Linked DNA regions of Oreochromis niloticus. The protein of the gene in region 4 purifies or fractionates together with the protein of the main gene of each other region. This does not show direct contact. Links are inferred from orthologs where the notes say so. Each region holds a gene or a part of one and is shown on either strand. Other genes may lie near its edges.

Region 1 (7,478 bases), on a different chromosome or scaffold from region 4:
CTAGAAGAGATATCTGAATGGTGAAAGGTGATCTGCAGCTGCAGCCAATAATAACAAGTCACCATTCATTTTACTATTCCTCCAGTTCTTACGCACGGGCAAGCAGTCCAATGCAAGTGCGCCTTTGTAAGAGGACTGTGATGCAGGGTGTTATTCACCAAAGGGAGATAAGTAGATAATGTGCATTACCTTAACAGAATGTCTGTGTGAAATGGGGTTGATCAGCGGGTCAAAGTAAAATGCGGGAAGATCGGGATCTTCTGTTTTGATAAAAACCACATTTGGTGTGTGGTACCTGGGGAAAACAAAACAAAAACATCACAAGTGTTGCTTTTATATAGCCATTATGAAAAATAATGCAGCAAATCTATGATGTTTATAAGTGATGAATGTCTCTCCTGTCTTGAATGAAAAAGGATTTTTCAGTCAGCCAGCATTTCAAGTAAACAGCAGTTCTCACCAGGTGAGGTGGACGTGGTGCGGCAAATTGTTGTACAGGTAGGGGAAGGCGATTTTGTACTCTGTCCTGATGGGCTGTCGGATGATGATTTTGTTGATGTCGTTGAACTCGTTCCAGTCTTCATCCCTACAGAGGATACAGAGGAACCAGTTAGGACACAAAACAGCCAGCATCTGTTCTCACGTTATGTTTGGATTAAAACAGCAATATCAAATAATTTCCAAGAAATATTTAAATTCTGAAAGCGAAACTATAAAAACTTTATTAACATTAATAACAGTAAGTCTTTAGAATATTCATTTTTTAAAAGGGTGAAAGAACATACTGGAGGTTGATGTCTCTGACCAACGGCTCAAACTTTGGCCCTCCAGGGATGGCCATGTTTAAAGCCTTGGATGTGAAGAAAGCCTTCAGGTCAAACAGATAGAAGTAGTTTCTATCAACCAGATCTGTCAGAAGCTGATTGGCCAGACGGTACAGTGTGGACATCATGGGCAGTGTGAACTGCCAGCGACGATAGGTGGTGCCATTCACAAACCTGAGCAAGACAAAGATAAATCATCAATTAATGTTTCAAGCAACACATCAGTTGAATATGCAAAACTTAAAATCTTTGTCTGTGAAGAGAGCCATGGCTGCTTACTTGGCTGTGTCCTTGAGGGGCTGATGTTCATAGAACCAGTCCACAACTGAAGCATCTTCCTCCGGATCAAGCTCCATCTGAATGGCCTCCAAGGGTTCCACATCAAGAATGTTGTCAGCGTAGTCCAGTGGCGGCTCCTCATCATCAAAGGGTGGAAAGCGCATTCTTTTGAAGTGCCGACGATCTCTTTTCTCACGACGCATCATGATCCACATGGTGCTGGGATTAAAATCGGGAAAGAGACAAATTGAAGTTTTATTGAATGGAAATGAGCACAGTTGGCTTGAAAGTTTTCAGCAGTAGAAACTCTCCCTTACCCCCACTGTGAAATGTAGACTGGCTCAATGACCCAAGGAATTTCATTGACAAAGGAAATGGCTCCAGTGATGTGATAAAGCACGGGCACATCTCGAATCTGTTCCCAAGGCATTGGCATGTTTTCCAACAGCTTCAGCACTGCATGGGGCATGTACTTGAGGGCACTGTTCAACAGACAGACACAGAACGCACATATGAAGATGTTATCAAGAAGAAAACACACCGACTTTTGTTAAGACTTTTAAAAAGAGTTAAAGGAGTCATCTTTACCCAAGGTAGACCCTCTTGTCATGGCGAAACTTTCTATTGGTCATGTCTCCATGGTCCCTGATGATCTTGCGGACATGTTCAGGTGGCATATCTTCTTTCTGAGCATCCACAAACCCAAACTTTCTCTTTTCTGAGTAGCGCTTTGCCTGTAACTGCTGCCATTTTCTTGCTGTAGAGTTGAAAGACATTTAATAATCGCGAAGTTAATCTTGTCTATTTGTGAAAACTTCTTCGCTAAAAGCTCAAAACATGGAAGTCCTGCTTTAGTCAATACAAACAACATACCCTTCTCTTGTAATTTCTCCTCAGACATGTAGTCTGGGACAGGTGCAGGAGGGGGCACACCAGGCGGCACAGCAGGTGGTACCCCTGGTGGCACACCGGGTGGCATCGCTGCAGGGACGCCTCTGTAAGGAAAGGCAGCTGCCATGGTGCCTCACTATCCAAAACAAAGACACAAAACAAGGTATGAAAATAAGTGAGATTTTTGATTATAACTGTATATAATGAAAACCCTGAGGAGAGAGGCTTTACATGTCAAACAAGCCAACTTACACTTAACTTAACTGAAACAAAGACTGATCAGAAACTTATTACATTGGCACATGAATTCCTTGTCTGGCTCCTGCAACCCACAGATTAAATAACAGAAGCCACAAAGTGAACGTGTGTGCTTAATGCCTTGCAAGCTCTGGAAAATAGAATGGCCTTGGAGAAAAATGCCTTTCAAAAATAATAAGTAGCTTCTTAATTCGGTAGAAAATGCATTTATTGCACATTAACTAATCTGTGTAGCTTCAACATCTTCGTGCTCATAGTTGATGAGCTAGCTACGTTAGCCTAACATGGCCTCCCGGATGGCACAAAACTGCAACAGCAAGGCGAACTTTACCCGCGTTTAACTGTCGTTAGCCCGTTCAGAAACAGCGTAAACTCGGGATATCATTCATAAATGGCTACATTATGTTACATGTAACACATTGTAATTCACACTGCAACACTAGTTATTAATTAGGCCAAGCGTGGAGGAAGCGGCAACTTAGCCAACTGCTAAAGCTAGCACGGTGGCTAACGATTGAGTGAGAGGTAAAACTAAGCGATAACAGAATGCATTCAACAACACGTACCTCGCTTACTTCACTCCCAGCGTTTCTTATCGTTGGATAAAGCCTTAATCCGCACACAGTCAGCTAGCACAACATTTCTTTCTTATTCTCCGTGTTTTTCCGCCTCAGTGTTGGGCTGATGTGCGCTAACACAAAACTGCATAAACGCACGACGCACGACAGCGGACACACGATGAACGAGCTTCAGTACTATTCACAGACGGCGGTTACGTCCGATATTTCTCTCCACCGGTAAAGAATCTGCTTTACGTCAGAAAATATGCGTAGACGTTAAACAAGCGCAATTTTTGAGAATACCCGGATGATCATGTTTCCGGCGCACTACTGCCCCCTGCAGTGTTGGAGTGCGATCGTCAGCGATCATATACTGAGTCCTGTAAAGTTTGTGGCTTAAACAAAAACATGATTTGCTGATGTGTTGTATTATTTAATCACATTCAAAGTATTTCATTACAGTTATTTGCTTCTTGTTTTATTTCTGACATGAGGTCATTTATTTCTTTTGTCATTTCCTTTTTGCCCCTTGTACTCCTAGGGACTCCATAGGGACTACAAACACAAGAGCCTGCCAGACCAGACGTCACATAGCAGGTAACAGTGGCGTGTCTAGAAAATTTTTGTTGGGGGGGGCCAGGTAGGGGTACAGATTTGGAGAAGGGTGGCAGATGTAATTGGCAGATAATGTTAAAAAAGAACTTTCTACCAACCGTTAACCATAATTCAATAACCCTATAAACCTAATAACCGAATGCGCTTTTAACTCTTATTAGAATGAGATTTTAACCACTATAGTGCAAAGTTTTTAGATATTGCGTTGATAAAGTACAAGAGATACAATAAGTGCTTTGTCATTGTTTATTCAGCATTCAAGGACAGCAATATTTGCATAGTATTTTTATGGAAATATAGTGCACATATGTTTTGGGCAAAAACATTTTTGAATATTAAAATACGAACATTTTTAACATACAATTGGCAAATTAGCCAATGCCAATGCAAAACTTTATCTGCCTATTAAAAAAAGAAGATAATCTTCTCACAAACTGGTGTTTGATTTTGAAACAGGAAAAAAGTGGGGAAACAAATGAAAAGACTAACTTTTGAATGAAACCTGAAAGCAAGTAAATACTTTCTATGCTGCCTTATGGTAAACTTTGGTAATATTGATGTATAAAGAACAACACTGGCTGATGATGAAATACAGTCAGCTGGCATGGTGACACGGCCAGTATTAACCTGCAGGGCTGGACTGGGACAAAAAATTGGGCATTTTGACCAGAGACCGGCCCACCGGGTATTAAAGCCATAAAGCCTTTGAATGAAAACAAATGCTGTTGTGACAGTGATGTAAAGTCTTGTTGGTATATGTATGATTTCTATACATTTTACGTCAGATAAAAACTTTGTTCGCAAGATTCAGATAATTATTTAATAAAAGCTAGATATTTTAAATGAGAATAAGAAAGAAAAGTATTTCTTTGTGCCCCCCTTTCCCTGTTAATGCCCTACCTGGCCCCCTGGCATAACTTTGCTAGACCCGCCTCTGCACAGTTACCAGCTGTCAGCTACACAGAAAAGGATCCTGGTGTTATTGGTCTCTCAGAAACAGTTCATAACTTCCCTTCAACTCATTCATGTCACCTAAAAGGTAAACCTGTTTCTCCATCACCTGTTCAGCTCTGATGATTCAGTAAGGACATCTCCTGGTTTCATCTTCATGTTTCCCTCTCACCTCATATCCAAACCGATATCATGACCAGCAGATTTTACAGCTGTGGCTCCAGCAAACATCAGCTGATACTAGAAATTAATATTAAATAAATTCTATCAACAGCTGATCAAGCTTAAATGTGCTGCTGTTGTTTAGCGCGACATACGCCGGTTTCCTCTTTCTGGTGCAAAGTGGGCGATAAACAAACACGAGAGAAAAGCCGATCAGCTGATCATTGATCAGTTTCATGATTGAAGTAGCAACAGGAGAGAGGGGAGAGAATGAGAGAAGAGGCAGCTGTGCAGCGTAAAGACAGAATAACTCCAGCTTTGTGTCTTTTTTTCATTATTGCTGAAGTCCGGGACAAACTGTGTTTCTTCTCAGCTCAATACGAAACGTATAATATTTTCTCTGAATGAGGGACCATTCCATGTTTAAGGAGCTGTTGGCAACTCTACTAACTAACCTTATGAATAAAATAAAGTTCACTATCAGTAACATCACAGCACCCACCCAGCTGTATAGAAACTCCGCCATGCTAGCTAGCACGCAGTAAGAGTTTTTGTAACTGACTGTAAAAAGTCAGCACAACGAAAATAAACTCCACCTAAACTTGGTTTATATCTGAACCAGATAGACTGCAGGTCATAACTTCTTACCTGAAGTTCAGTTCACCTGACACTCGGACCGGCGGCTGCCTCGGGTCTCTCCTCCTCCTGCCTCCCCTTCCCTCATCCACCTGCTGGCCTCTGTGGAAGCTCCGCCATAGCCACCACCAAACAACAAGTTATTTTTACACATCGGCCAGCATCTGGCCAATCCACCACCTCTCATTGTTCATTACAAAAAAAATAAATAAGTCATCAGCCCACCGTGCAAATGCCCGATATGCTCGATGGCCAGTCCAGCTATGTTAACCTGTTAATCTTTCGCTGAAAAATTGTTTTCTGCGGTGCCGTCTTTCATGCTTGGCTCTCCTACCTTTGCTAACATGATGCTCATAGCGCAGAAGCTGATGCTGCATTCACTTACACTTGGATATCTGAGCTTCACTGTGAAAACATAATCGTACATTTGACATTTCATTGAATTTTATTGTTTTAGCTTCGGGGTGGCACCTGGGGTGGCCAGTCTGGTTGGGGGGGTGGCCCGCTGGACACGCCACTGGCAACACCGCAGGAGAAATGCCAGCACAGGCATCCAGTATCCGTAGTTTCAGGTGCTGCACATCTCGTATCTTCACACCATAGACAATTGCCTTCAGATGACCCCAAAGATAAAAGTCTAAGGGGCTCAGATCAGGAGACCTTGGGGGCCATTCAACTGGCCCACGACAACCAATCCACTTTCCAGGAAACTGTTCATCTAGGAATGCTCGGACCTGGCACCCATAATGCGGTGGTGCACCATCTTGCTGGAAAAACTCAGGGAACGTGCCAGCTTCAGTGCACAAAAAGGGAAACACATCATCATGTCATCATGACTCTCGGCCATTTGACCTTAGAACTGAAGAAGCTTCTCGGATGAGAGGTGAAACGTCTTCAAGCAACTTAAAGAAGTCCAGACGCTTTTCTTTGCAAACTCCTTTGACATCATCATGTAGCAATTTCAAATATCCAGTGGCCTTGAAAACTCAACTTTCTTTCTTTTCTTTTTTTATATAAAGCTCTGACTTGTATGATGAGTATGAGTCTATGGTCTGGGAGAGAGTCCTGTAACTCTCTGTCTGCAAAATACAGTATATAATGACCAATGTTGGGCAATTAATTATATAGTTACACAAGTGTTGCGCAAACAACAAAGTTTTTTGCAGCTGTTTACCTAAAAATGCAGCCAGGGCATTTTTTTTTAAAAAATAAACATTTCAAACTATTTACAGAACAATCAGCTGTTCTGCATCAAATTTGATGCCATACAAATTATTTGTGCCACTGCAAAAAACAATTTCTGTCCACTATGAGATAAAGGAGAACAACAGCCTGATACCCGCAGGCCTGATAACAGGATGTATCACTCCTGTAACACCTGTAACATTCGGCAGTCGCCTCATTGTTCTGACACACACAACAAAACAATTGACTACACTACACACAGTGTGTGAATGTGTAGTGTGAATGGGTGGATGACTGGTTGTGTAAAGCGCTTTGGGGTCCTTAGGGACTAGTAAAGCGCTATACAAATACAGGCCATTTAACATTTACTACACACTAACTACACAAGATTTGCGCTAAACGTCGCAAATCTCTCACATCTCAAAACACTGTCGTCACTCCTAAAACTTCCCCCCTTCATAACAATAAATGCCATGTTGCCATATCATTTTTTAATTGGTTGACACGGTACATTTTTCGACCAATAGAAAAGGGTGGGTTTTTTTTGGTTTTGCTCACAGGTGGAGAGTCCTTTCGAGCGTTTTCCTTATAAAACGCCATTTTTACCGTTTCTTCCCGCAGTAAATATAAACAACGATAGTATTCAGGGAAAAAAAGCAAACATTGCATATATTTTTATCATAACTCTGGTTTTACGTGGCCTATCAACACAATTTAAGAACTGGTATAAAGTCCACACTTTTTCCGTCAATTGTTCCGTCTGTCCTGCTCACATCTCCACGTTGTCATTACGTGGTTTCACTCCACTTTAGTGATGTTCGATTCGTGAACGAATCGTTCAATACTCGAGAATCACTTTACTGACTCGTGAATCATGATTCACAAGCGCAGCTGACTCACTGACTCATCCCTGTTGCTGTTAGCAAACTAATTCCATTAGTAGAAATATATCTAGCTTATAATTAAAATTGTGGGGGAAAAAAAAACAACAGCCAGTTTATTAACAAAAACATTCCTGCTCTGAACTGGAAGAAAAAACCCTTAGTAGAAGCTCACATCAAGACAATAGCTCCTCGGTTCACAGTAGTATCGCTCAGCTAGCATGCTAACAGCACAT
Region 2 (8,187 bases), on a different chromosome or scaffold from region 4:
GGCAAATTTAACTTCCATGATTTTAAAACTGTTTACAAACCAGTGAGTGACACTGCAGTGGCTACAGTCATCAATTTTAATTGTTCCACAACACTGAAGTTAGAGATTTTGCTCACCCCAGCCCACCGATGGAGGCCAATGACTACTAATTTTCATAGTGAAATTATAAATTCTCTGTAGAGTTCACTATTAGACCCCAAAATACAAATACTTGATCGATCCAACTTCATAAATGAGCCAATATCACAGTTGTGTTTCCTTTATTTTGTTTTTTTAACGTTCAAGTGTAGCTAACTGGATGGATGTGGACTCTAAGTTTAATACTTACCCAGTCCATATTTATCAGAGTAGTCCACCCATTTGCTGATCCAGAAGATGGGGATGCATGCAGGATCCTCTGCCTCCTCTGTTTATTAAAAGAATTAACATCTCTGTATGAAGCACTGACACAGACACATAGATTTTCCAGCTTAATAAAATGTACAACACAGTCATAAAAAGTCAGCGCTCACCTTGGCGGACGACTGCCTTCTCAGAAGGCTTGGCAGCAATGATGGTGTTGAGCTGCTGCAGCATGTCTCTGAGGTGGTTCTCCGACGGTTCAACCTCCCTACACGCAGATTACACCAGTCAAAACATCCAAATACATAAATGTGTCACAGAAAGCAAACCTGTCCTTTATAAATATTTCCATTATTTCAAGTGGGACAAACATCTCACCGTGGTGCAGGCTCGTCCTTCATCTCCACCTTCTCTGTCCCTACTGGAAACACAAACCCGTATCATTAACATTCCTGCAAACACTAAAATAATTCAACTCCAATATTTCAGCCTTGCTTTAAACATCTGAAGAGTTGGGGCTTCTTTCAACTCTAGTCCTGCTGGGAGGATTACCTTTGTTATTTATAGCTGTCAACGGGCGCCTCTGGCTGAGCTCGGTACTTGTGGAAGGGGCAATAGAGAACCGCGGGGGCACCGTGAGACAAGTCGTGGGCAGGCGCAAGGGGATGTAGCCGGACGTGATGAACTCATCCGCTTGCAGCTCAGCAATGGTGGGCCTCTGGGTGGGATCGGCATGCAGCATCCTTTTGATGAGGGCGGTCGCTGCTGGGTTGATGTGCTGCACGAAGACAATTGCCGTTTAAGTTGATACGACTTAAACAAAAAAAAGCATCTTTGTATACAAACTTTTTTTTCTTTAAAAAGGAGCATCGTGTTAAACCGCCTCACCCAGGGGATGGTGTAGTTGTTTTTCTTGATGCGGTTGTAGGTCTCCTTCAGACAGGAGGTCTCAAATGGAGGCTTGCCCACCAACAAAGTGTACCTGAGAATTCAGACAAGAAGGAGGTTAAAGTGACTGTGCAGATTTTTGTTTTTTAAACAACTTTTAACTTTCTAATACATCATTAGAAGTATTTCTTGGGGTAAAATATAAAACCATTAGGACTCATAGGGCTGCATTTTGTAAAAAGACAAAAAACCCTAATTAAACATGAGCAGATGTGCAAAGCTTGGCATTGGCATCAGCCGTAACACCTCCGTTTCCAGGTGTGCTTGTGTATTTAGACTTACAATATACACCCAAGTGACCAGACATCCACTTCATAGCTGTGGCCTTTCTTGCAGAGCACTTCAGGAGCTATGTAGTTAGGTGTTCCACACAAGGTCTTCTTCCGCTCACCATCAAACTCAATCTTTGTGGCAAGGCCAAAATCCCCTGTTTTAAAAGAAAAAAGGGGGACATAACTGTAAAGAGGCACACTTGTGTGCAAAAGTTCATTCTTGAAGTATGAGAAATTACTGACGCAAGGACCTGGGTGTGCCTTTTCTAGTAAAACCAGCAGGTTAGTTTGAGGTTGCTAATATATCCAGTTGACATTTATAGCCCCTGCCATCATTCTGAGCTGAGCAAATTACCTATCTTGACGTCCATGTCGTCGTTGAGGAAGATGTTGCCCAGTTTCAGGTCTCTGTGGATCACTTTGTTGTTGTGCAGGTACTGGACACCCTTGAGCAGCTGAGTCATGTAGTATCGGGCCTCGGGCTCTGTGACAGCCTTACGACGCTTGTGCAACTCCAGCAGGGACTGAAGTGGAGAAGAAAATGATTTGAAACTGGGGCACTGAGACAGTAAAGCAGCAGAGAGGCAGTACTGAGGCACATTTTTAACAAAAATCAAGTACATCTGACGGTAACCATGTCAGTGTGGAAAGAAAAGATTTTAAAAAAGTACTAATGCCATCAAAATACTGAGTTTAGGAATAGTGGCTCATTTGAATTATGTTCAGAGCTCCTGTGGTTTTAATCAGGCCAAGCTTCCTGCACTGTGACGGGAAGGCCATGGGAAGAGACCGCCAGGGTAACCGTTGGCCGTCCACAGTTAACAGAAAGGACACTTTCTCTGCACTCACCCTTCTCCTGCAGATTTCCAGGACGACAAACACAAAATCATCGTCCTCGAAGAACCCGTGGAAGCCCACGACGTTGGGGTGGTTGAGGCTTTGGTGAATGGAGATTTCCGAAGTCATCTTCTCCCTCTGGTGCTGCTTCAGGATCAGCGATTTGGGCACGATCTTTCCGGCGAAAACCTGCTTTGTCTCCACGTCTGTGATTTCGTAGCATTTTGCAAATCCACCTTTCCCGAGGAATCTCCCCCTCGTGTATCGTCTCATGGTGCGTGGGTCGACCAGAACATCAGGGATTTCTTTTAGAGTGGCCGATTTTGGGTCGACGTGCGGCATCGGGTTCGCCGGCTTTGCAACACCAGCGCTCATTTTGGATTAAAGTGCACTTAGCCGGGAGTAAAAAGAAACGTTTTAAAGCCCCTTCGCAATCGAGGTATTAATGATAAACCCCAAGAAAGAGAGTATTGTTAACCCTACCTTAACTGACGTTAGTTTGGCCTTGGAAGCTAGCGTGCTCCCTGCACTTCTGGATTTAAATAAAAACTAGCTCTAATACACTTTAGACGCCTTTTTTTACTTAAACATTGCATTGACAATTAAAACGCAGTGCAACTAGACTATAAATCTTTTTTGAAAAACGAAAATATTCAATAAAGTAATCGCCAGAGTTGTCCGTCGATGGCTACAGCGTTAACCCGTCCTGCCTTTTGACAACAGTTTCTCCTAAAAGTTTAAAATGCTGCCTCGGTCGTTACGGTGCTCTGTGATTGGTCCGCTCGATTTGAATTCTAAGGTATTGCAGCAAAGCATCATGGGAGATTAAGGCAAAAATAGCCAATAACTAAATGAGTACGTCACATTCTGCATTGTTATTGGCTGAATCCCTGTTGTTGGTTTCTTATTGTTTCCTTTAAGCGAGTACTGATGGGAAATGTAGTCGGGGTGGGCTTTAATCGTGACATACGTCCGTTTTTTTTCTTTCTTCTTCTTCTTTTTTTTTTTTTACCCAAGTAGATAACGTGAATTTAATGGTCATTTGATTGTTTTCTTTTTCTTCTTCTTTTTTTTAACTAAAACCCCTGAATAAATAGTCGTCATCGTGGATTGTTGTAACCGATTTAGTTTAGTCGAGGTAGCAGTCTATAGGCTAACTTATATGAGACTCAGTATAATTTGTAGATTTACTTCACTGCAATAACCTTTGCTTATTTATACGCTGACCTCACTAGTTTTCGGTAAGAATTGTTTCGTTATTACTCTTGTAATACTACTTTTCGTAATTATCAGTCGTGAGGTTGTCCAGTTTAATTAACTCTAACCAGCTACAACATGTAGACTGTACATTTATGTAAAACACACAACCTATTTTTATTACTGTTTTTAGCCAGTAGGGGGCACTGCCACGCCTATATCCTATCCAATAACTTCCCGAATGCTATAACTTTATACGGTCCCAATATTAAAATATGTTGAAAAGCAAAAATATGTTGATATCAATACCATAACAGATTGCTGTAGTTGAAGGCTGTAGTTATACAGTGGGCCAAAGGACTGAATTTCTTTGAATGGATTGTTCAAAAAGTGTTACCATATTTCCATTAAAACCTTTTCTGGATCAAGTATGATGAGTGTTAGTCAGTGCAATGTCTGTGTTTCATTAGTTTCATTAAAACTTTTGTGTACATTCAGGATATATTATGGTTCCACACAATTATTGATGGGATTGTCATTGCAACACCAACTAGACTTAACTTCAGGCAGAGCATTCATGAAAAAGGCAATGTAAATAATTTTTCACTGAAATTGTAACTATGGAAAGAAGAATTATCCAGAATTGTGTGGAGTGGAAACAAAATTTGTGGCAAACATGGTCCACCTTGTACGTCATGATCAACCAACCACCCAGGCCTTTGCTTCACCCCAGTCTTGACTCCATGGCTACAGCCTTGCTCTGCGTCATTGCCTGTAATGCCTTTTACTTCTAGCCTGCTGCTTCTACAATTACCACTAATGCTAGTTCTGGTAAATGACAATCATTATCACTCTCAATAAAAAAAATAAAAATAAGAAAAACAGGTATGTTGGCTTTACAAAAACCTTAATTGTTACAAAAGCTGATAAACGTTATATATAGTGCTGTAATATTCTCTGAACCCTCCACCCCTACAGTGAGGTGCACTGGTGGATCACTTATCCTGTGTGTGTGTGTGTGTGTGTGTGTGTGTGTGTGTGTGTGTGTGTGTGTGTGTGTGTGTTTCTGTTCGCCCAGAAAGGTTACTGTAAATCTATGCTTAGCTGTCATGAGTGTTCATCTCAGGCCTGATGAAACATTTCTGTTGTGATGGAAATAGTCTCTTCTAGCATCACAGCCTCCGTCCATAGTGCACTCAGTTGTTTCTCAAGTATGAAAATAATGGGATTCATCTTCATCCAAGACAAACACACATGGCATGTTTCAGAGATTTCTCTTAATCACATCATTGTCACCCATCTGTTTATATGTATTTTGAATCATTGTGCTTTTATTTATTCTGTATTTTTATCATCTTGTTTTATAAGATGTGTATATTGGTTTTCTTTTTTATTGATCTGATCCTTATCTAAATTACTGAGAAGACTGTCCAAGAGCACAGGTGTTCTTTTATTCTGCGCACGTGCAGCTGACAAATAAAGTAATTCAAACTTTAATTTTCCTGTTGTTCACTCTTCTTGGTAAAAGATAAACAAAAGCTTTTACTCCAATAGTGTGAAATTTTTGATGTGTAATGCTGCAGAATCATCCTTGTCAGGAGCCTCTGTTCTTTAGCCCTTGTGTGCTATATGGGCCTCTGCTCCTCATTCATATTAATGCTTTTGTGGCAGACACAATTAATATCTGCTTAGCAACAGATTATACAACTGACATGGTGATAAAGAGAGGAAAATAAGAGGAGAACAAGTGGATGAAGAGAGGACAGATGATGAGACCAGTGTGTTTGCTTAGCCCCTTTGTTCTACTTCATATAAGTGTCTGTGTGTGTGTCTAAAACGTCACGACACAGTTTCAAGCAAAGAAAGGAGCTATTTTTATGATGCACCATCTCACGCTAAGCCAAAAATGGCAGTTGTTGTTCATTATTACAGAAAAAGAAAAAATATGCGCATCGGCTTTGTACATCAATTTAATAACTCAGAGGAACAATTTTAAGATGTAAATCTTGGAAAGCTTGGAATGCCGGGAAGTTGGGAATAAATGGAAGAGACTCCCATCAGAAATATTTTCTCAGAGGATAAATTTGAATAGTCACAGTAATTTGTAACTGATTTTCAGTGTCCATTTTCTCTAAAAAAGTAGATCAAACCATATCACAACAGCATCAGCAGACCAATTGCCAATTGCTATTCTGGGCACGTCCGCAGGGCCCGTGTATATTTGGGGGCCCATCCAAGAGAAGATGAAATGAAAAAAAAGAAAAAAAAAGACCAGAACTGTATCATCTCAAACTTTACTCCTATTTTAACAAAACATAGATATACATATTCTTTTTAATTATAACTGGTAAAATCCAGTAGTTTTATTTTGTATTTGACCTGCCTTTTTCTAATTTTAATTAAGGAGCGAGGCTGCCTTCACAAGATCATTTATCCATTAATTTATTCATTCACTTATTTATTGACAAAAAAAAAGTTTACTAATTTTCTAAGTGGGGACCTCACAAAAGTGTTTTTTCTCATTAAAGCTCTCTGGGCTCTACTCTACTGTTTCAACACTCATCCGGGAGCGGGACTGTAGTAGTGCTGAAAGGAGGAAAAAGAGGAGACCACCAAACAGACAAAGGGAATAAGAGGAGAAAAAGAACATGTGTGTGTGCAAAAAGTCAGGATTTTCATTATATATTTAAAACTAAAACGTTCCCTTTGATGGTTACTTTAAATGGTAAAATGGTAAATGGCCTGTATTTGTATAGCGCTTTACTAGTCCCTAAGGACCCCAAAGCGCTTTACACATCCAGTAATCCACCCATTCACACACACATTCACACACTGGTGCCATCGCCAGTGTGTGATTCCTGTATGAATGTGAACCATCACAATCCTGTATGATTCTGATTATCGAAGAAAGAAAAAAGCTCTAGGGCCCATCAGACATTTGTGCACAGTGGTGTTTAACTTTATGATCCACGCATGGACAGACTTATTACAGATGTGCCAAGACCAGTGGAAAGTTTACAAATGAAGCACCGGACACATTTTAGAACAAAGTTATTTTACTGACACCATATAAAAATGTACACACAAAATAGGACTCAAATAAAGTGCATCATCCCGTTTGCTGCCCGTAAACTATGAGTATTACAGGCCCCGTGGCTTTCAGACACATTAAAGACCCGAGGAGCCTTCACCCATGAACAGGTGTGAAACTGAGCAGGCGCAGTCCAGCTGCAGCTGTTTCTACGACAGAACACAGCTGTGGTGCTTCTTCAGCGAGGGTCTCTTCCTAGCTCGGGGCCTAGGCACGGTGTCTCTGCGTGTCCACGCCGCGGGGCTCAGTTGTGCCGGCAGGTTCACCTGTTGCAGCAGCGAGCTAAACACCCCGACCGCGTTTCTGCCCGTGCTCGCGGACGCCTCCACGAAGTCTGCGCCCCACTCAGCCTCCACTGTGGCCATGGCGTCACCGGCAACCGGCGCTCGACCTTCGCTCTCGGTCAGATCCGCTTTGCTGCGGACCACGGTGATGGGCGCGCTCCTGCCGCCGCCGCGCAGCTCCAGAATCTCGGCGCGCAGTCGACGCACCTCCTCGAAGGAGCCAGGCTCGTCTGCCGCGTACACCAGGGCGAAGGCGTCGCTGTGTCGGATGCAGAGCTCCCGCATAGCTGGGAACGAGTAGCTGCCGCTCGTGTCCAGTATCTCCAGCCGCATCTTCTCCTCAGAGCCCGCGGTGTCATACTCGAGCACGTGAAGCTCCTCGACAGTGCGCGTGTACTTGTGCTCGAATCCGTCGTGGAGGAATCGGTGGATGAGCGCGGTCTTGCCAACCCCCGCTGCTCCCAGGAACACAAGCCGGACCGTGTTCGGACGCCCTGACGGAGACATCCCGGCCATCCCGGTGCACGTGCAGCTTTATGCAGCTTCATGCAGCCAGGCTATTTATAGGCTGCTCCACCGATACAACCCCACCCGGTCGTTCTCCGCTCAAAATCGCTCAAGTTCAGACTCTGAAAGCCACGGAGCACACCCGATTTGGCAGCATGGAAACATAAGTGATTTATGGATTTACTGTATTTTCAGCGCTTGTGTCAACATGTGTGAAAGAGTCGAACACGTGCGTTTGTTTGCAGCGTTTGTGAGTCATGGAACTCAATGCCAGTGTATTTCACAGGAACCCGGATATCATAAATCATTTCCACAACACAGTTCACAACAGTGTGCATACAATAACAAGCGTCTGTCGAGGCTTTAGTTAATTTACAACCCATGGTTAGCCTTTTTACTTCCCACCATTGTGTTTGCTTATTTACTGCAATGATCCGAATCCCCTCTTTTATTAATGGAACAATGGGGATGCTATACCATTCTGGATCCTCCTCGTAAAATGTAATTCTTGCAGCACTCTACTTCTCACCAGCAGAAATACAGCTCTAGCTGTGAGCACAGAACCCCCACCTGCTGATCAAACCCTGTGTTTGTAAAGGGTGGCCAGTCAGAAGAAAGCTGGCTAAAAGAAAGCTAGAAGGGAGCTGCAACTTGTTACTTGACAGAGGATGAATTAAGGGGCTGCTACAAGGCCCAGTATAAAATAAAT
Region 3 (7,993 bases), on a different chromosome or scaffold from region 4:
ATTTTACCAGAGAAGTTCTCTTTTTAAAGCCACATGACTTTTATTGACAAAAATCCCACTACCCTACACTGGAGAACAGGACGTTGCTGTGTGGCTCTGGTGTTTAACACCTTATTTTTATTCATAATATCATGTTAAAACACCAAAGTCACACAAACGAACCTTTTGATATAGCAGTAAAGCAACAGGTTGCTCTGTGATAGAAAATTTATAAGTGGAGTCTGGCTGCTTTGATAAGACAATGAGAGTGGCCTCAGTTCGGAAAAACTGGCAGTTTTTTTTTTAATTAATGTATTAATAATTCATTTATTTAGTTGTAGTAGAGATAGGAAGTTAGGGAGAGACTGAGTGAGAGAAGACACGCAGCTTTTCAACATATGTATCGCAGACTTTTTTCTACATATAAAAAAATTCTGAAAAATAAAAATACATAATATAGGACCTAAGGTTAAAAAAAAGGGACTGTACCTTGCTTAATCCAATATTGTGGTACTTTTTTTCCATGATCTTCTTTACTGGCTCCTCCTCCTTGAATGTGATGAAACAGAAGCCTCTCCTTTTGTTTGTTTTGTTCTCCATGGGAAGCTCAACGGACTCCACCTGTTCACATTAAGACATAATTTAATGGGCAAATAGGAGCCCTGCAGAGCCACACAGAACAAGTGGGGAAAAAGATCAGGAGATTTAAAACAAAACCTAATTTTCATAAGTCACAAACCTCTCCAAAGGCACCAAAATACTCTCTGACTTTCTCTTCAGGAGTGTCCGGAGAGAGGCCACCAACAAAGATCTTCTTTACTGGCTCCTTGCTCTTCATGGCCTTGGCTTTTTTGGGGTCAATGACCTTCCCATTAAGTTTATGTTCTTTCTGTGAGGCAACCTGTAAAGCAATATAGACAATTGACAAAAATTTACATACGTGAATATTTCATCTTTCATCTTGATTTAGCGGAATGGATGTTTGATTGTTTGGGCATCATTGAGACCAAACTTTTATTATATGTTTTATTCATAAACCTCGCAGTACTGTAGTTACATTCATTCTAATTTAAGTCTGTATGACAGGCCAAAAAGGCCAAAAATGAATTTTTTCTGCTAATCATTAAATAAAACTGAAAAAAACCCCCACGCACACAGACATGAAGCTGCACAATCACAGCAAGTTCATGTCTGTTAGAAAAGTAAATTCACTGGTAATTAAAAAAAACACATCCACTTATGGGAACAGGATAATACCTTATCAACACTTTCAGGTTCTTTGAAGAGCACAAACCCAAAACCCCTTGACCGTCCAGTCATGGGGTCCAGCTTTAACGTGCAGTCTACAACTTCCCCAAACTTTGAAAAGTAATCTTTCAGGTCCTTCTTAGTCGTGTCCCAGCTGAGGCCTCCAACAAACATCTTCCTGTTGACAAATCACACAAAAATAAGCAGGTGGTGTCTATGTGTGCAGACTACTTTATAAGACATCTATGCAAGCTTCTTTAAACAGCTGGGCTGCTCAAAGGTCCCCTCATTTGCTAGAAGTAATCTATGTAACTTGCTTAATAAGTAATTTATCATCAATTTACATCCGGACAATACAATATCAAAACACAGCAGATCCTCCATTCATTAGGTGACTAATGAGGACCTGATTTCATCTTTTATGTGCATCCAAAATGTGAACACATACAATGGTTTTTCCGAAATCAAAATGGGCCTTCACATATAAACATGTTTTGTCCATATTAAAATAGAGCAAAGAGTCTGTTACCTTTCTTAACAGAAGCCTGTGAACATCTTCCTGTTGTTTGTGACCATTTGATAAAGAGAAATGTATTTATTCTTGAGTAAATTCAACTATAATCATAAAACGGGGGGTAATTGTTTTGTGATTTTACAGTGATGGTGATTTTTAAATGGTGGAAGTCCGAAACCCCTTTCTATAACAGAATCAGAATACTTTATTGCAGAGAAAACCATGCATATAAATCCACCAGTGAAGTACTGTAGACCTGCAACCAACCAGTTAGCAAGAAAGATGGTTTTGTTTACAACTGCAGTGAAAAAATGTTAAGATATTCCCTAAATTGAACCTGTTCTAATTCTTTTTAATTAAGGGATTCAGTGACCATGTTGATATAAAAGCACTGTGACTCTCAGCCTTTTCTAAAAAGGGAAACAAAAATCCTGCACTGTAATGTATGCTCTTCATACAATTTTGGAACCATTAGCTCCACTAATGATTGATATTGCCAACACTTGAACATTTGCTAATTATTAGCCAATATCCATGAATAGTAACCTAACGCAATCTTCCTCTTTTTGCTGCTCCCATTAGGCGTCGTTAAAACGGATAATCTGCCTATACTTCACCCTATTCTTGGCATCATCTTCTGTCACACCACAGCACAATAACAAACCAATACTCTGTACATGCATCTGTACTTTGATTTTCTGAACAACTGGCAAAGCTGTTTTTCTTAACAGAAAACTGAAAATAATAACAAATATTCAAAATAAATGATATTCGAAAATATCACTTATTTTAGTGTAACATATCCTTTTAAAACCCAAGCTTTTAAAATAGCAAACCGGTAACACTCAAACACCTCGGAAATCGTTCTAGTGTAATGTTTAGTTTATGAATGCAGAAGTAGTACCCAACAATAACAATGCCAGGTCCTGCAAAAATCCGGTCCTGCAGCTACAGCATCTTTTCGATTATCAACAGAGATCAACAGTGAACCTGAGTCTAGCCACCCTTCATCATCACCATACCCTTCATCCTCCTCGTTTTTACTGGCGTCGATCCTTGATCCTTCGGCCTCGCCCCCCATAAGGCCACAGTCCCCCGCTGCTGACATCGGGTCGTCACTGTTCGCCTCTCCATCCTCCTCCATTCTCATCATGTTCGGGTCGTCGCTTAATTCATAATCATCCGACATGTTTCGGCTTTTTCTGGAACAAGTCTTAAACTAAAGCTTCACCCCTAAAGGGCTCTGAAATCCAAGCTACGTCAGATATCTCTGCTGGAGCTAAGCTAACGGTCTGGCTTCTGTCAGCTGATGACAGGCTAGTAGCTGGCTAATATTTTGATATCATATGCTGTTAAATAAAATGTCTGTCGCTAGTTAGAACAAGCTAACTGGTTAGGTTACGTGAATCCAATGTGGGGTTAGTATGAAATTGGAGAAAACACCGCTCGGTATGAAAAAAAAATTAGGTTGAGTTACGATAATATTGAGAGGTGACTTATGAGCGTCGCTTTGTTTTCGTCGCCGTCATTTCTTCTTCGTCGGTTAAAACCGGCTGACAAACCGACGTGAAAGCTAGACCGCCCCCCTCTTTATGTAACAAATAGTACATTTTCGGCTTAATTTCCTCTTTTTTGTGGAGCAGTTTGCAAACTACAGATGAAAAAGAGGAAGTAATTGAGGCAAAAATAAGGAACTGAGCAAAGTAAACAGAAAAATACTAAAGTAGAATTATGTAAAAGACATTTTTCAGTTAGTAATTTATACTCTGAACAAATCTTTGGTCAATAATACACCAAAGACAAAAAGTAGATTCATCATGATTGATGAATCAAATAACCAACCCACCCATCAGCATGTTATAGAATATCATAAGATGCAGAATCTAAGTCATAAAATTTAATTTAATGACTACAGTACTGTGCAAAAGTCTCACCCCTCATTTATTTATATTTTTCTTCCAAGGAGCCAGACTTTTGTCATTTTTTTAACTAATCTTGAGCAAAAATTGTTAAAATCACTTACCTATTGGCACGAACCACTGTTATGTTGACACAAGCTACTTATCAAAGCACCAGTTTTAAATTGCACCTTTAAGGGTTTTTTTGTTTTCCTTTCTTTTTTGTGGTTTTATCATTTGTGATCCTTACTGTTCAATTTGAAAGCACTTTTTTAAAACAGTTTGGACTGAAGAAGAAGACAGGCTTCTGGGGGAGACAAGGCATTTATTAGAAGTCAATTTCCTGAATAATACCAACAATGTTTCACACAAAGTCTGGCAATGTTTCAGTATTTTCACTTCCCAAGATCAACATTACAAATGAACAACAAGTATGGCACATTTAAATAGACACCATTCACCTGTGAGGGGATTAATTAAGACATTCAAACAAAGTTTCAAATGAAGACTCTCATTCTGCTGAGTGCATCTATACTGTAATTATACTTTCTAAAACGAGACAGTTCACTAACTGTACAGGACTCCATACGTCTGCAACACATTTGTTTGGGTAGAGGGGAAGGAAAATGGTACATGAACATTTACAAAATGGTTAAGAAATACAGTTCACGCATATACATTTGGAGAGTGGCAGTCAAATACAGTTCGTCTAAAAGGTAAAAAGCTAGTCTCACATGTCATGTGCAGTTTCCTTCAGGCTTGTAAATGTAAAGCAACAGCTTCCCATTCAATCAAATGGTCCAATGACAATGACGTCCCATTTGTGTTCCTATAATGCTTGGTGCATCCGTTTCTATTCATGAGAAAGGCATCCTGAAAGAACTGCATAGTGAGCCACCTTTAAAGACTGGAATTTCATGATCAGCCCCATTGATTGCCAGCAGTCCCAGCAGCATCACCAGTCCCTCGTCACCCATCAATGTGGAAGAAAGAAAACAAAACAATAAAACACTAGAATTGCAAAAAAGGTGGGGGCAAAAAAAGAGGAGAGGTCATCACGAAGTCATCCTTTGTTAACTCTTTGTTAAGCATGTCCTGTAAGCTGAAGTTGGCTAAAGGAGGTAATGAGGTTATAATGGGCCCTCTCCTCATCTGTCAGCTCCATGTTTCCAGGCCTGACCACCACCACAACATTAATGCCGGCTTCTTCTGCAGCTTTGGCCTCTACAATGACAAATGCAGTCACATTAAAAAAGGAAGTACACTGTTGTCTTTTGCCCTTAACAGAATATTATTATCAAGACGTGACAATAAACAAAAGTGGCCAATAGGAATCTCTTTGGAGACGGGTGTCAGACGGTTTCAAAACCTCAACACAAAACGACTACTTTGAACATTTCAGTGTTTCACAAAGCCTCACTTTGCCCATCACTGCCTTCGCCCCCACCGATCTATTCATCCTGGTAGTCTTGATGTGATCTTACTAGCAGACCAAACCCAGAATATTATCATTGCTAACATACTTACCCCGGGTGACGTCTGTCAGGAATGTGATTTCCTCAGGCTGACAGCCGATCCTCTCTGTAATTCTCTCATAGCTCTTTGCATCTACTTTAGCCCCTATACTGGTGTCAAAGTGACCGTCAAATAACTGAAAAGAAAAAAAATCAAACCATCAGATTAGACAATATCAATAACATAAACAACAAGAGCTTACAATTTGTTTTAGCCAAGTACAGCCCCTCCAATACAAAAAATTTAACCTTCTTATAAAAGAAATAAATAAATAAAAGAAAAAGAAAATAGAAACTATGTGCAAGCAAAGGTTGTGTTTGCACTAAAGTGGGAGAGGGGAACATACTTCTAGAAGATCTCCTTCAACAGAGTATCCAAATAGAAGTTTCTGTGCCTCCACGCTTCCAGAGGAGTAGATGTAGACTTTCAGGCCACGTGCTCTCCATGTTCTGATGGATGGAACTACATCCTGATAGACCCTGATTTTAAAAAGGGATGGAAAAAAAAAACTGCAGCTTATTAATATTATTATTATTTTTTATCTCAACCTCTGACAAACAAGCCAAATTATGACCCAAACCTGAGCAGAGCGCATATGAATTTTAAAAGTGAGGAAAATGATCAGTGTACTTACTCGCCTTTGATTCTCCCAGATGCATAAGCTGCCCTCCACATGTGACCCTGAAACTGTTTGAGTGCTGTGGACTTCCTGTCTGCCGCCATCTGCCACAGAACATTTTCTATTACTTCCCTAATGGCCTTCTCCTCATCTGTGTGAACTGTCTGGTCCACAGTGTGCACAGGACACGCCCGGTTCTGTTTCATGTCCTCTTCAATCTGCCGTGACAGTCAGCCTTTTTGTTAAAAGAGCGCTAAGGCATGTTCCCTGGTTTACTTGGTGGATTAAAACAGGGACGACAATATTCATCAAAAAAAAAGGCAAGCAATTCAGAAAATAAAGGATAGAAGATGAAAATATAAGAATTCTTCAGTACCCAAATAAAAGTTTTCCCTCCTTTGTTCACTAGCTGCTGATAAATAACAAGCTGCATTCCTGCCAGGCTGAGTAACAGCCTGGATTTCATTCTTCCAGTAGGGAATCACACTTAAAAACATGTTTGCCAGCTACCTGTTTCTTTAGTAGATGAACATCTTGTTTGCACTCGTCTTCTTCCCAGTGAGTGGACAGGTAATCCTCAAGATGCTCTTTGATGTACGGAAAAAGGATATCCTAGAAATGAAAATATGGACATGTGACAGCGAAAAATAAAATAAAATCAAAACATAAAACCCACACTAACGCCTGAGTGATTTGTCAGCAGACCGATATCACCTATCTGCCAATCTGTATTTATAGCAGCCAATAAAGTTAAATTTTAATAACAGAAACTACAGAAGAGATGGTAGAAACACCCTTCAACCAGTGCTGATGTCCATAGTTTCTCCACCGGAGGGCACTCTGCAACTTCCCCGATGGCAATATAGGACATACATATATCAGTTAGGCTCTAATTCAGACCCTCTAGTCAGAAAATACTAACAGAACAATTTTTATTGATTCCTGTTTTGAAAGCCTTTTCTTTCATTTATGGTACAGCTGTTGTGTCCGTTTGCATAGACATTTGCCTACCCAGAGAGGAGTTTTTTTAACCCACGCAAATGTGCTTCCATGCAGTTCTTGAAAAACCCAACAGTGTGTAGCTCAATGTTGATGAGCATTGTGAATGGTGACTGGTAAACCAATGATCAGGAGCAACAGGAGACTACCAGGCATGGGAGATGCGTCAAAACGCAAAAATTTAAGTGAAAAAGAAGAAAAAAGTATGACGAATACAGAGGACACCTTCCACTGGTTTTAACATTTGGTCTTAACATCAGGCTGAAGGACCAACAACAGCACAAGCAAGAGTAGCACACTGCCTCCATTTGGCAACACACAGATAGTGTATGGACAGTGGACAGACGGTGTGGACCGTCTGCAGGTAGGCGGACTGTCCATAGCTGCCCACTGATTACCAACACACTGCCACCGCCGAACCGTAATAAACTGTCATGTTTCTTCACGCCGTGTGGAATGATCTAGAGCGGGAATTGACCTCCACATTACTGACTTCCAACAGCTGCATACTTACATCGTGACGCTAAACAGTAATTAGAAAACTGGCCTGACTCCACATGTCTATGTCTGTTTCTAACGCATGCTTTGTGTTTCTAAGACACAAAGCAAAGAGGCTTCCATAAAAGTAAAAAAAAAATTACATGAAACTGCTAATTACAACACTTCTTGTGTGACATAAACGCAGCGTTAGGTGTGTTCGTTGTCAAACGGCATTTCTGGTTATATAAAGCAAATATGGACGAAACAATAAAAGGACAAAAGCAGACAGTTGTAGAAGCAAAACAATAAAATTGCATTACATTCAGGCGATAGAGAGACGCTGTGAAGTTCTGTTGGTTTAGCTATGTGCTACCGGTGACAGGCAGCTGTTAGCATAGCCGCACAACCGGACGTGCAGACTTTGTTTGCATTTCACGCTGCTTACCTTCACAAATGTAATCGGTGTGGTGGTGCCTTCAATGTCGAGCAGCAGGGCACTAGTGCAGGCAGGAATAGAAACAGTGGCCATTTTTACTGGGTGAGTCTGCAGCTGCTCTTGTTAGCTGACGTTAGCTTACTAATTAGCAGCACCGCGGTGGAAGAACCAGGCTGTACCCGGTCCTCGCTGTTTCTACAAGACTAACAGATCAAGCAGACCACAGATTATGCATGCGCTAACAAATCTATCTGGTGGTAAACCACTAACTAGCTATCACTTCACAGCTAACACACAGGGCAGTA
Region 4 (7,382 bases):
TATTACTGATGAAACTCAGACTGGCTTTATGGCTAACAGATACATATCCAACAACATTAGACTTGTTCTTGACCTCTTTGATTATGCAGATTTTTGTAGGGTTGATAGCTTTATCTTATTTTTAGATTTCTGTAAAGCATTCAATACTATTGAACATAGTTTTATTTTTCAGGCTTTGGACAAATGTGGTTTTGGCCCTTACTTTCAGAATGTTATTAAAACGATGTACAAAAATGCTAATTGTTCCATCAAATTTCATACAGGTACGTCCTTTAGGTTTAAGTTGAACCGTAGTATCAGGCAAGGCTGCCCCATCTCCCTATATCTGTTTCTCATCTGTGCTCAGCTCCTCTCTGACTATATTAAACTTAGTCCCATGAAAGGCATTAGAATTGCAGAAAAGAAATATTCATTAGTCAGCTTGCTGATGATACCACCCTCTTTTTAAAAAGTGCTTCACAGATGCAGATAGCCATTAACACAATTGATGCTTTTTCTGTAGCTTCAGAACTCCACTTAAAGATCGGTAACTGTGAACTGCTTGCCCTCAGAAACTGTACCAGTCCCTCTATTGCTGGCATTCCAGTGACAGAGTACATCACTTACTTGGTATCCTCATTAATAAAAATCAGCCAACATCAATTTGGAACTTTATTCCAAATTTAAAAAAAATAAAAATTGGCGATCTTAACTTTGTTTTACTTACAATATTGATAAAATCCCCTTAAAACTGTCCAACTTTCATAAACAGATGCGTCTTTCCTGGTTGTTACTTTATAAACACAACTTTTCTCTGCGCAGATACTATATTTGGAATGACAGAGACATTTTATACAAACACAAATCTTTATTTATAGGTGACTGGTTTGTTCATGGGATTCATCTTGTTGCGGAACTTCTTAATCCAAATGGAGCTTTACTTTCTTAGATATCTATCTCTCTGTCTCTCTGTCTCTGTCGCTCTCTGTCTCTCTCTCTACATATATATATATGTATATATATATATATATATATATATATATATATATATATATATATATATATATATATATATATATGTGTGTGTGTGTGTGTGTGTGTATGATCTGACCCCTCTACCACTGATCCTGCTGTTACCTCTGTTAGACAGATCTGTTTTCCCAAAACAACCCAACTACTGGGACCTGGAATGGAAGAAAATTTGGACCATACCACTGAAATTCCTGTTAACCAAAAAAGTAAAAGAAATATCTTTAAAATAAAATATTCATCGTTTTTAACCCACCAGAACTTGTACGATATAAAAAGACATTGATGCTAACTGTTCATTTTTTCACTGTCAGAAAAAGATATTTCTCTCTTATTTTGGTCCTACTTATGCGCTAATCTTTTCTGGCAAGATGTTTGTGCTTTTGTTGTTTCTTTTATCTTATCTTTGTTACGGAAAAATATTGTTTGGCTTTTTTGATTGCCCTGCAAATAGGGCAAACAAATTTCATTTGATTAATTTACTAATCTTAAAATTTCATATACATAAATCCAAAATTTCTAATGCAAAACCGTCTTTTCAATGCTTCATAAATGAAACCAGACAATATTTTAAAACTATACAACATTCCCATAATATAAAAGCAATAAAACTATAAATTTATGCTCCTTGTTTGGTATCTTGTGATTCAAACCCTAGCCCAGAGGTTCCCAAAGTGTGGGGCCCGCCCCCTAGGGGGGGCGCAGAGCCATTGCAGGGGGAGCGCGGTATGAAAATAAACAAAGGTAGGTCTCCCCAGGGGCCCGTTCTTCGTACCTCGCTTACTACATCCAAGATCAAATGACACATCCAAGATCAAATCATCGCGCTAACTTTGAGCTCGCTAATCCGGTTCTCCGAACGCACCTGTTGTTGACGATTAGTATAGCTGGCTGAAGTAATCTGAGATCACTGGGTGGCTTTAAAGGGGCTACGCATCGATAGTAGAAACATTGATCGGCAACCCTGTGATTGGTCGGCGAAGATGTCGAAGGAGCGCGCGCAGTATCTCACGGCAGCAGAGCAAGAACTCTTGATTGAGGGATAGCAGGAGTTTCAGAGTTTAATTAAAACGCAGGGGAACACTGCAAAGGCTGCAAAAGCAAGGAGAGAGGGCTGGCAGAAAGTTGCTGACAAATTAAACTCGTAAGTGATCCGTGATATTACATTATATCATGTGATATTATATTATACCACAGTATATTATATTACATCATATCCTCTTTCACATTAGAGCCACAACAGGACCCACTAGAACATGGGAAAAAGTAAAAGTGAAATATAAGAATATTCTACAGAATGGTAATATTTATCACTTATATTGCTTTTAGTCTATGACAAGAGACCCTGGAATAATCTGTTTGTTTATAACAGCAACCAAGAAAAGGGCAGAGCAAATAAAGACAGGTGGTGGTCCTGCACCCCCTCGTCACACCCCTTTTTGTACTGTGACATTTATTGACATTGTGGGTTTTTATGTGTGTAGTTTGAATAACACTCCATCACTTTTACCTGTTCCCATGCAAGGGGTGACTGAAGCATGCACAGTAAGTCGGGAGTAAGTATATATATAGATATATATATATCTATATATATATATATAGAGGGAGAGAGAGAGAGAGAGAAAGGGGGAGGAAGAAAGTAAATAATACCCTCACGGGAGAATCGATATCTCTCTATGAGCACACCGTCGCGCTGAGCTAAAGGATCCCGTCTATCCCGCAATATACGCTAAATTCTGTAAACTCTCCTTATCAATCTTGCACCTTCCTTGCTCGCGTACAAACGGACAGGACATGGCTGCGACAGACTTCCCAAATCCACTTTCGCTTTTTTAGCCGTGGTCTGTCATCTTGATTGCACGTAGTAATTTACTATTACTACTCTAAAATATGAATTACATCTGACATGATCTACTACATGTAATAGAATGGTTAATAGTACATTTCCCTTTTTTTCGGAAATGACCTGTATGTATCTGTATGCAATCAATAAAAGAATCAAATGCTGCATTATCTTTAGTTACATTGATAATATTTATTTATGGTAAAACAGTGGAGAAATGTCGCTCTTGCTTTCATAAAACTGCAGCGGACATACCTGAGTGGCCGCGATCTAATCCTGTTTACATAAAGTAAACCTGCTCCCGAGCAGGCTTACTCTTACGGATCTGTTGCTATGACAGCAAGTCCCAGATGAGCTTCGGAGAACCGAACGATCCAAGATCACGCGAAATCGTCAACATTCAAATCCGGCTAACTTACTTAGCGAGGTACGAAGAACGGGCCCCTGCAGAATTGGTTTTCCCTGCGTCGGGAGCAGCGCTGGGCTCTCCAAATCACGGACAAACAGTATCCCACATTCTTGATTTTTAGTTCAGGAACACTTCTTGTAATAACTAACTACTCCTGACATTTTGGACATGTTAGCTCTTTATACAGTAAAGTTACAGTGGGATACAAATAATATCAGGCTGATCCTGCCACAGTTTGTTCCCCCTGTCCAAATCACGGACAAACAGTATCCCACAGCTGTTTATGTTTTTGAACCCATTTTGCACAGAGAGGCATTTTTGAAAAATGTATTGATAGCAATGTTGAATATTATTACACAGGAAAAAAACAACTACACGTAAAATAATTACACCATGACGCCTCTGCCTTTCTAAATGGAGGGACAGTAACTGCGTGTGTATATGTAAGTGTGTAAAACCTGAAGATAGAGACAAAATACTGTTACTGTTAATCTTACTATCTGCCATTCTGCAATTCATCTCATCTAAACAATAACGTGGCGCACACCGTGATGTGAAAAAAGGCACATACCTTTGACGTTGCGTGATGAACTCTGTATTCCTCGTCCACACGTAAACGCAAAAACGGAGTTTTAAAAAATCTCCGTTTTCAGTGATTCGAAACGCCGTTTACGTGCCGACGAAAGGCCCAAACGCATAGAAACAGCTGCGTTTTCAAAAATACCCATGTAGGTATGAACGTAGCGTAAAAGAGTTACTAGTGTATTTTATTTTATTTTATTTTATTTTATTACTACCTGTAATTTATCGCAGGATGTATTTGTGCGGTGGTGGTGGGGGGGTGTCTAATTGTTATTACACGACCACCCCTGACATTGTCTTTTGCTCATTTAAATCTGTAATGTCTGAATTGCTAATGAAGCTTAAAATAAAAAATAAAATCCGCCTTACTGCTCATCACATCACAGCGCGACAGAACGTTAGGGTTACGTATTGTGCTTACGCCATCAGACCGCGCTGGGCAGCTATCTGCGCAGTTGTGTTTTATCGGATTTGCGGAGTTATCGCGGCTCTAAGTGAAATAAAGTTCGGCACGTCTGTTTGCAGCCCCGCGGGGAGCTCTGAGTTCAGCAGCGGGACCAAACCGGCGCGGTCCGAGTCAGATCGGGGACCCGAGTCGTAGTTCGTTGTTTTCTTTCTGACGCAGCTAGCTGTTAGCGTCGTTAGCTCAGGTGTGTGCTCGATTTTTGTCTCTCAGATGGAATATCCCGGAGGAGGGGGAGCGGTGCTGAGCAGCGGGAACGTCCCGGCCTTCCTGACCAAATTGTGGACCCTGGTGGAGGACCCGGACACCGACCCGCTCATCTGTTGGAGTCCGGTACGCACGATAACAGCTAACAGCTAACGCAGACAAGTTTAATTTTATTTACACAGCAGAAACAGACACAACTTTATTTAAACTGGAATGTAGACAAGTTTGTTGACAAACTTTATTTACTGACTAAAAAAAAGAGGTCAGCTCAGTTAGCTTAGCTTCAGTGAGCTATTAAGGCTAACAGAGCTCACGTCAGAGGTCAAACGATATCAGACATCATCAGCTAGTCGGTAAATTATCAGTTGACAGTTGTTTTTCTGACAAACTGATTCCAGCAGCTGTTTTGGAGGTTGGCATAAAGCCTGAATTCAAATAAGCTGATGACTGCCTATGATGTCACTGTAGTGTCATAGCCCACACCTTGTACAGCTGCAGGTGTTAATTTCAGGTTGCACTGAAATCGGTCACTTATCACCAAAAGGTCTCCATCTTTATTTTCCTAATTTTTTTTTTTTGTTTGTTTATTTGTTTTTTTTTATTGCATAACTATTAGGCTCCACCCACAGCTGAAGGTCATGTAACACCAGATTAAAGAAGTGTCTGAAGTGTAATTTCCAAGTGTAGTTTAAAAAGGAAAATGCACCTTTAATCCATGGTTTTCATTACTGCGACACGCCCACCTGGAGGGCAAAAACAGTACTGCGGTCCTTTTCTCTCCACCTCCCTTTGAACGTCTTCTAGTTTAACTAGAAACCAAAATGCCAGATAGTTGCTGGGCTATCGGATGCAGTAATCAACATTTATTTACAACTGCCAACTGGCATTGGAAAAAGTTTTTTCTATTTCTTTTCCATATGGGCTGCCACCCACTCCAAATGTCCACCTAAGTGGACATGTAAAAAAACTATTTGAAAAATACATGTTTAAGAAATGAAGTTCAAAGATCTTTTTTTCATGCCTAAAGATGAATAAAAATACTTAAGAAAAAAATCCTGATTGAGGTTGTCATAATTCATGCATGAAAGGGTTAAGCTAGCTATGTAGCACTTACTTTTGCTTTAACAACAAACACTTTCTTGTTCTTCACCTCCTCCTTTAAATGAAGCTGCCACGGCAGGATATGGATCACAAGTCCCCCAAATTAATGGTTTCTCTTTATATCTTTATTTGGATCCATGGAAGAAAAACAAAGAGTTCACTTTCATCTGCAGTGTGTTCTGACAGTTCTGTTTAATCTATACTGATGTATAGATTACTGAGTTCCAATCAGTAATCTATACATCAGTGCCTGATGTGCAGGTGCAAAAAACCCTGAAAGTGTTAAAATAATCAATAAATTTTGAGCTGCTCAGAAACAGTCTGCTGGAGAGCAGACAGCTGAGATTAAAGTGTTAGCAGTGTGCTCTGATTTTCAGATCTGTTCCTGGAGATTCCTGAGCGTAAGAGCGTATATAGTCTCTTTTTATCAGTTGATTATAAGGTAAATGCAATGGTTCTTATACATTCCTTAATACTCAAGTACTCAAAGTGCTTTATACCCCATGTCTCATTCACACACATTCATACACTTTTTTTCAACCTGCGTGCTTTCTGTCTAACAGTCACAAGCTAATGAACGCATCAAAGAGGACCCTGAGCTCAGGGTTCAATATGTTGCCCAAGGGTACTTTGCCATCCAGAATGGAGCAGCCAGGGATTAAACCACCAACCTTCTGATTAACAGATGACCTGCTTTGCATCTTGAATCACAGCCACCACAATAATACAGATTCTTCTTCTTTTTTTCTTTCTCTTGTTGTATAAGAGTGGTACCAGTTTCCATGTGTTCGACCAGGGGCGGTTTTCCAAAGAAGTTCTGCCAAAGTTCTTCAAGCACAACAACATGGCCTCTTTCATCCGCCAACTCAACATGTGTGAGTAACCAGCAAGGAATCATCAGTGTGTTAGCCCCACCTCTGAACAAGCTATCGTTCAGAGGTGGGGCTATCACTATTTGGCAGTGTAACAGAAGGTTAGATGTTTTTGTTATTGATTTATTTTTTGGGAAAGAAGATTCATCCAATCAGGCGTGCTTTGTGAAGAAACATTGAGATATAAGTCAAATGTCTGGTGTTTAGCGGCTTTTCTTTGCTGCCGTAATTGTCATAGCAGCAACAACCAGTCCTCACAAGGCAAGGTAGCCTGCAGTTAACATAGCAGTTAATGAGCTAAGCCAGTGGTCCCCAACCTTTTTTGCGCCACAGACTATTTTATGTCCGACAATATTTTCACGGACTGGCCTTTAAGGTGTCGCGGATAAATACAACAAATAAAACGAGTATCAGTACCAAAAAAAAAGAACATTTATTCATAACACACAGGAAAAGACCCAGGGAAACAGAGTTACCGATAAAAACAGATAAAAACCCTGAAAACCATAAATTTCACACCCGAGCCTCAACTCTCATGGTCCGATACTGGTCTGTGCCCCGTAGGTTGGGAACCGCTGAGCTAAGCTACCGGTTTGTGTATATCAAGCTGATCAGTCATCACGACGATCTTTGTGCATGAGCAGCTTCTTTTTCTCCATGTCACTGAAGAAGTGCTAGTTGATTGGTATGCTGAAAAGCTGAACTTTTCTCAACATTCAGCAGAACCCTCTTTAAAAAAAGTAGGATAGAAAAAAAGGACCGGCCCACCTGTGCATGCTATACCTCTGTCACTGTGCATGCAAAGGCTTCTGGACTATGGAAGAACCAGAAAGAGGAGCTGTGATATTAGCGAGTATCCACATCCATTATTCATGGTGTAATGGTATTTCTCCCAGA

What was found.
Region 1: the proteins of hsf1 (region 4) and prpf8 purify together in Homo sapiens (affinity purification with mass spectrometry; 3 studies listed by BioGRID). This does not show direct contact. The link is inferred for Oreochromis niloticus from reciprocal best matches to the Homo sapiens genes HSF1 and PRPF8.
Region 2: the proteins of hsf1 (region 4) and plk1 purify together in Homo sapiens (affinity purification with western blotting; 3 studies listed by BioGRID and IntAct, with this or other methods). This does not show direct contact. The link is inferred for Oreochromis niloticus from reciprocal best matches to the Homo sapiens genes HSF1 and PLK1.
Region 3: the proteins of hsf1 (region 4) and hnrnpd purify together in Homo sapiens (affinity purification with mass spectrometry; 3 studies listed by BioGRID, with this or other methods). This does not show direct contact. The link is inferred for Oreochromis niloticus from reciprocal best matches to the Homo sapiens genes HSF1 and HNRNPD.

The regions. Positions count from the first base shown.
Region 1 is NC_031979.2:19,593,729-19,601,206, forward strand, and holds the start of prpf8 (pre-mRNA-processing-splicing factor 8), read right to left. Parts: upstream 3,031-7,478; 5' UTR 2,819-3,030; intron 2,131-2,818; 5' UTR 2,122-2,130; coding exon 1,977-2,121; intron 1,861-1,976; coding exon 1,692-1,860; intron 1,586-1,691; coding exon 1,421-1,585; intron 1,323-1,420; coding exon 1,104-1,322; intron 999-1,103; coding exon 786-998; intron 587-785; coding exon 461-586; intron 296-460; coding exon 190-295; intron 1-189. UniProt on the Homo sapiens protein: Plays a role in pre-mRNA splicing as core component of precatalytic, catalytic and postcatalytic spliceosomal complexes, both of the predominant U2-type spliceosome and the minor U12-type spliceosome.
Region 2 is NC_031971.2:12,088,884-12,097,070, reverse strand, and holds the start of plk1 (serine/threonine-protein kinase PLK1), read right to left. Parts: upstream 3,180-8,187; 5' UTR 2,883-3,179; intron 2,791-2,882; 5' UTR 2,775-2,790; coding exon 2,412-2,774; intron 2,087-2,411; coding exon 1,918-2,086; intron 1,718-1,917; coding exon 1,573-1,717; intron 1,325-1,572; coding exon 1,231-1,324; intron 1,121-1,230; coding exon 895-1,120; intron 764-894; coding exon 721-763; intron 611-720; coding exon 513-610; intron 407-512; coding exon 329-406; intron 1-328. Other genes in the region: GTP-binding protein Rhes-like, read right to left, coding at 6,837-7,487. UniProt on the Homo sapiens protein: Serine/threonine-protein kinase that performs several important functions throughout M phase of the cell cycle, including the regulation of centrosome maturation and spindle assembly, the removal of cohesins from chromosome arms, the inactivation of anaphase-promoting complex/cyclosome (APC/C) inhibitors, and the regulation of mitotic exit and cytokinesis.
Region 3 is NC_031972.2:11,789,920-11,797,912, forward strand, and holds the start of hnrnpd (heterogeneous nuclear ribonucleoprotein D0), read right to left. Parts: upstream 3,304-7,993; 5' UTR 2,931-3,303; coding exon 2,764-2,930; intron 1,787-2,763; exon of another isoform or gene 1,757-1,786; intron 1,406-1,756; coding exon 1,237-1,405; intron 881-1,236; coding exon 719-880; intron 601-718; coding exon 469-600; intron 1-468. Other genes in the region: enoph1 (enolase-phosphatase E1), read right to left, coding at 4,724-4,863, 5,167-5,290, 5,501-5,633, 5,789-5,991, 6,284-6,385, 7,698-7,781. UniProt on the Homo sapiens protein: Binds with high affinity to RNA molecules that contain AU-rich elements (AREs) found within the 3'-UTR of many proto-oncogenes and cytokine mRNAs.
Region 4 is NC_031985.2:36,095,610-36,102,991, reverse strand, and holds the start of hsf1 (heat shock factor protein 1), read left to right. Parts: upstream 1-4,230; 5' UTR 4,231-4,518; coding exon 4,519-4,638; intron 4,639-6,379; coding exon 6,380-6,488; intron 6,489-7,381; coding exon 7,382-7,382. UniProt on the Homo sapiens protein: Functions as a stress-inducible and DNA-binding transcription factor that plays a central role in the transcriptional activation of the heat shock response (HSR), leading to the expression of a large class of molecular chaperones, heat shock proteins (HSPs), that protect cells from cellular insult damage.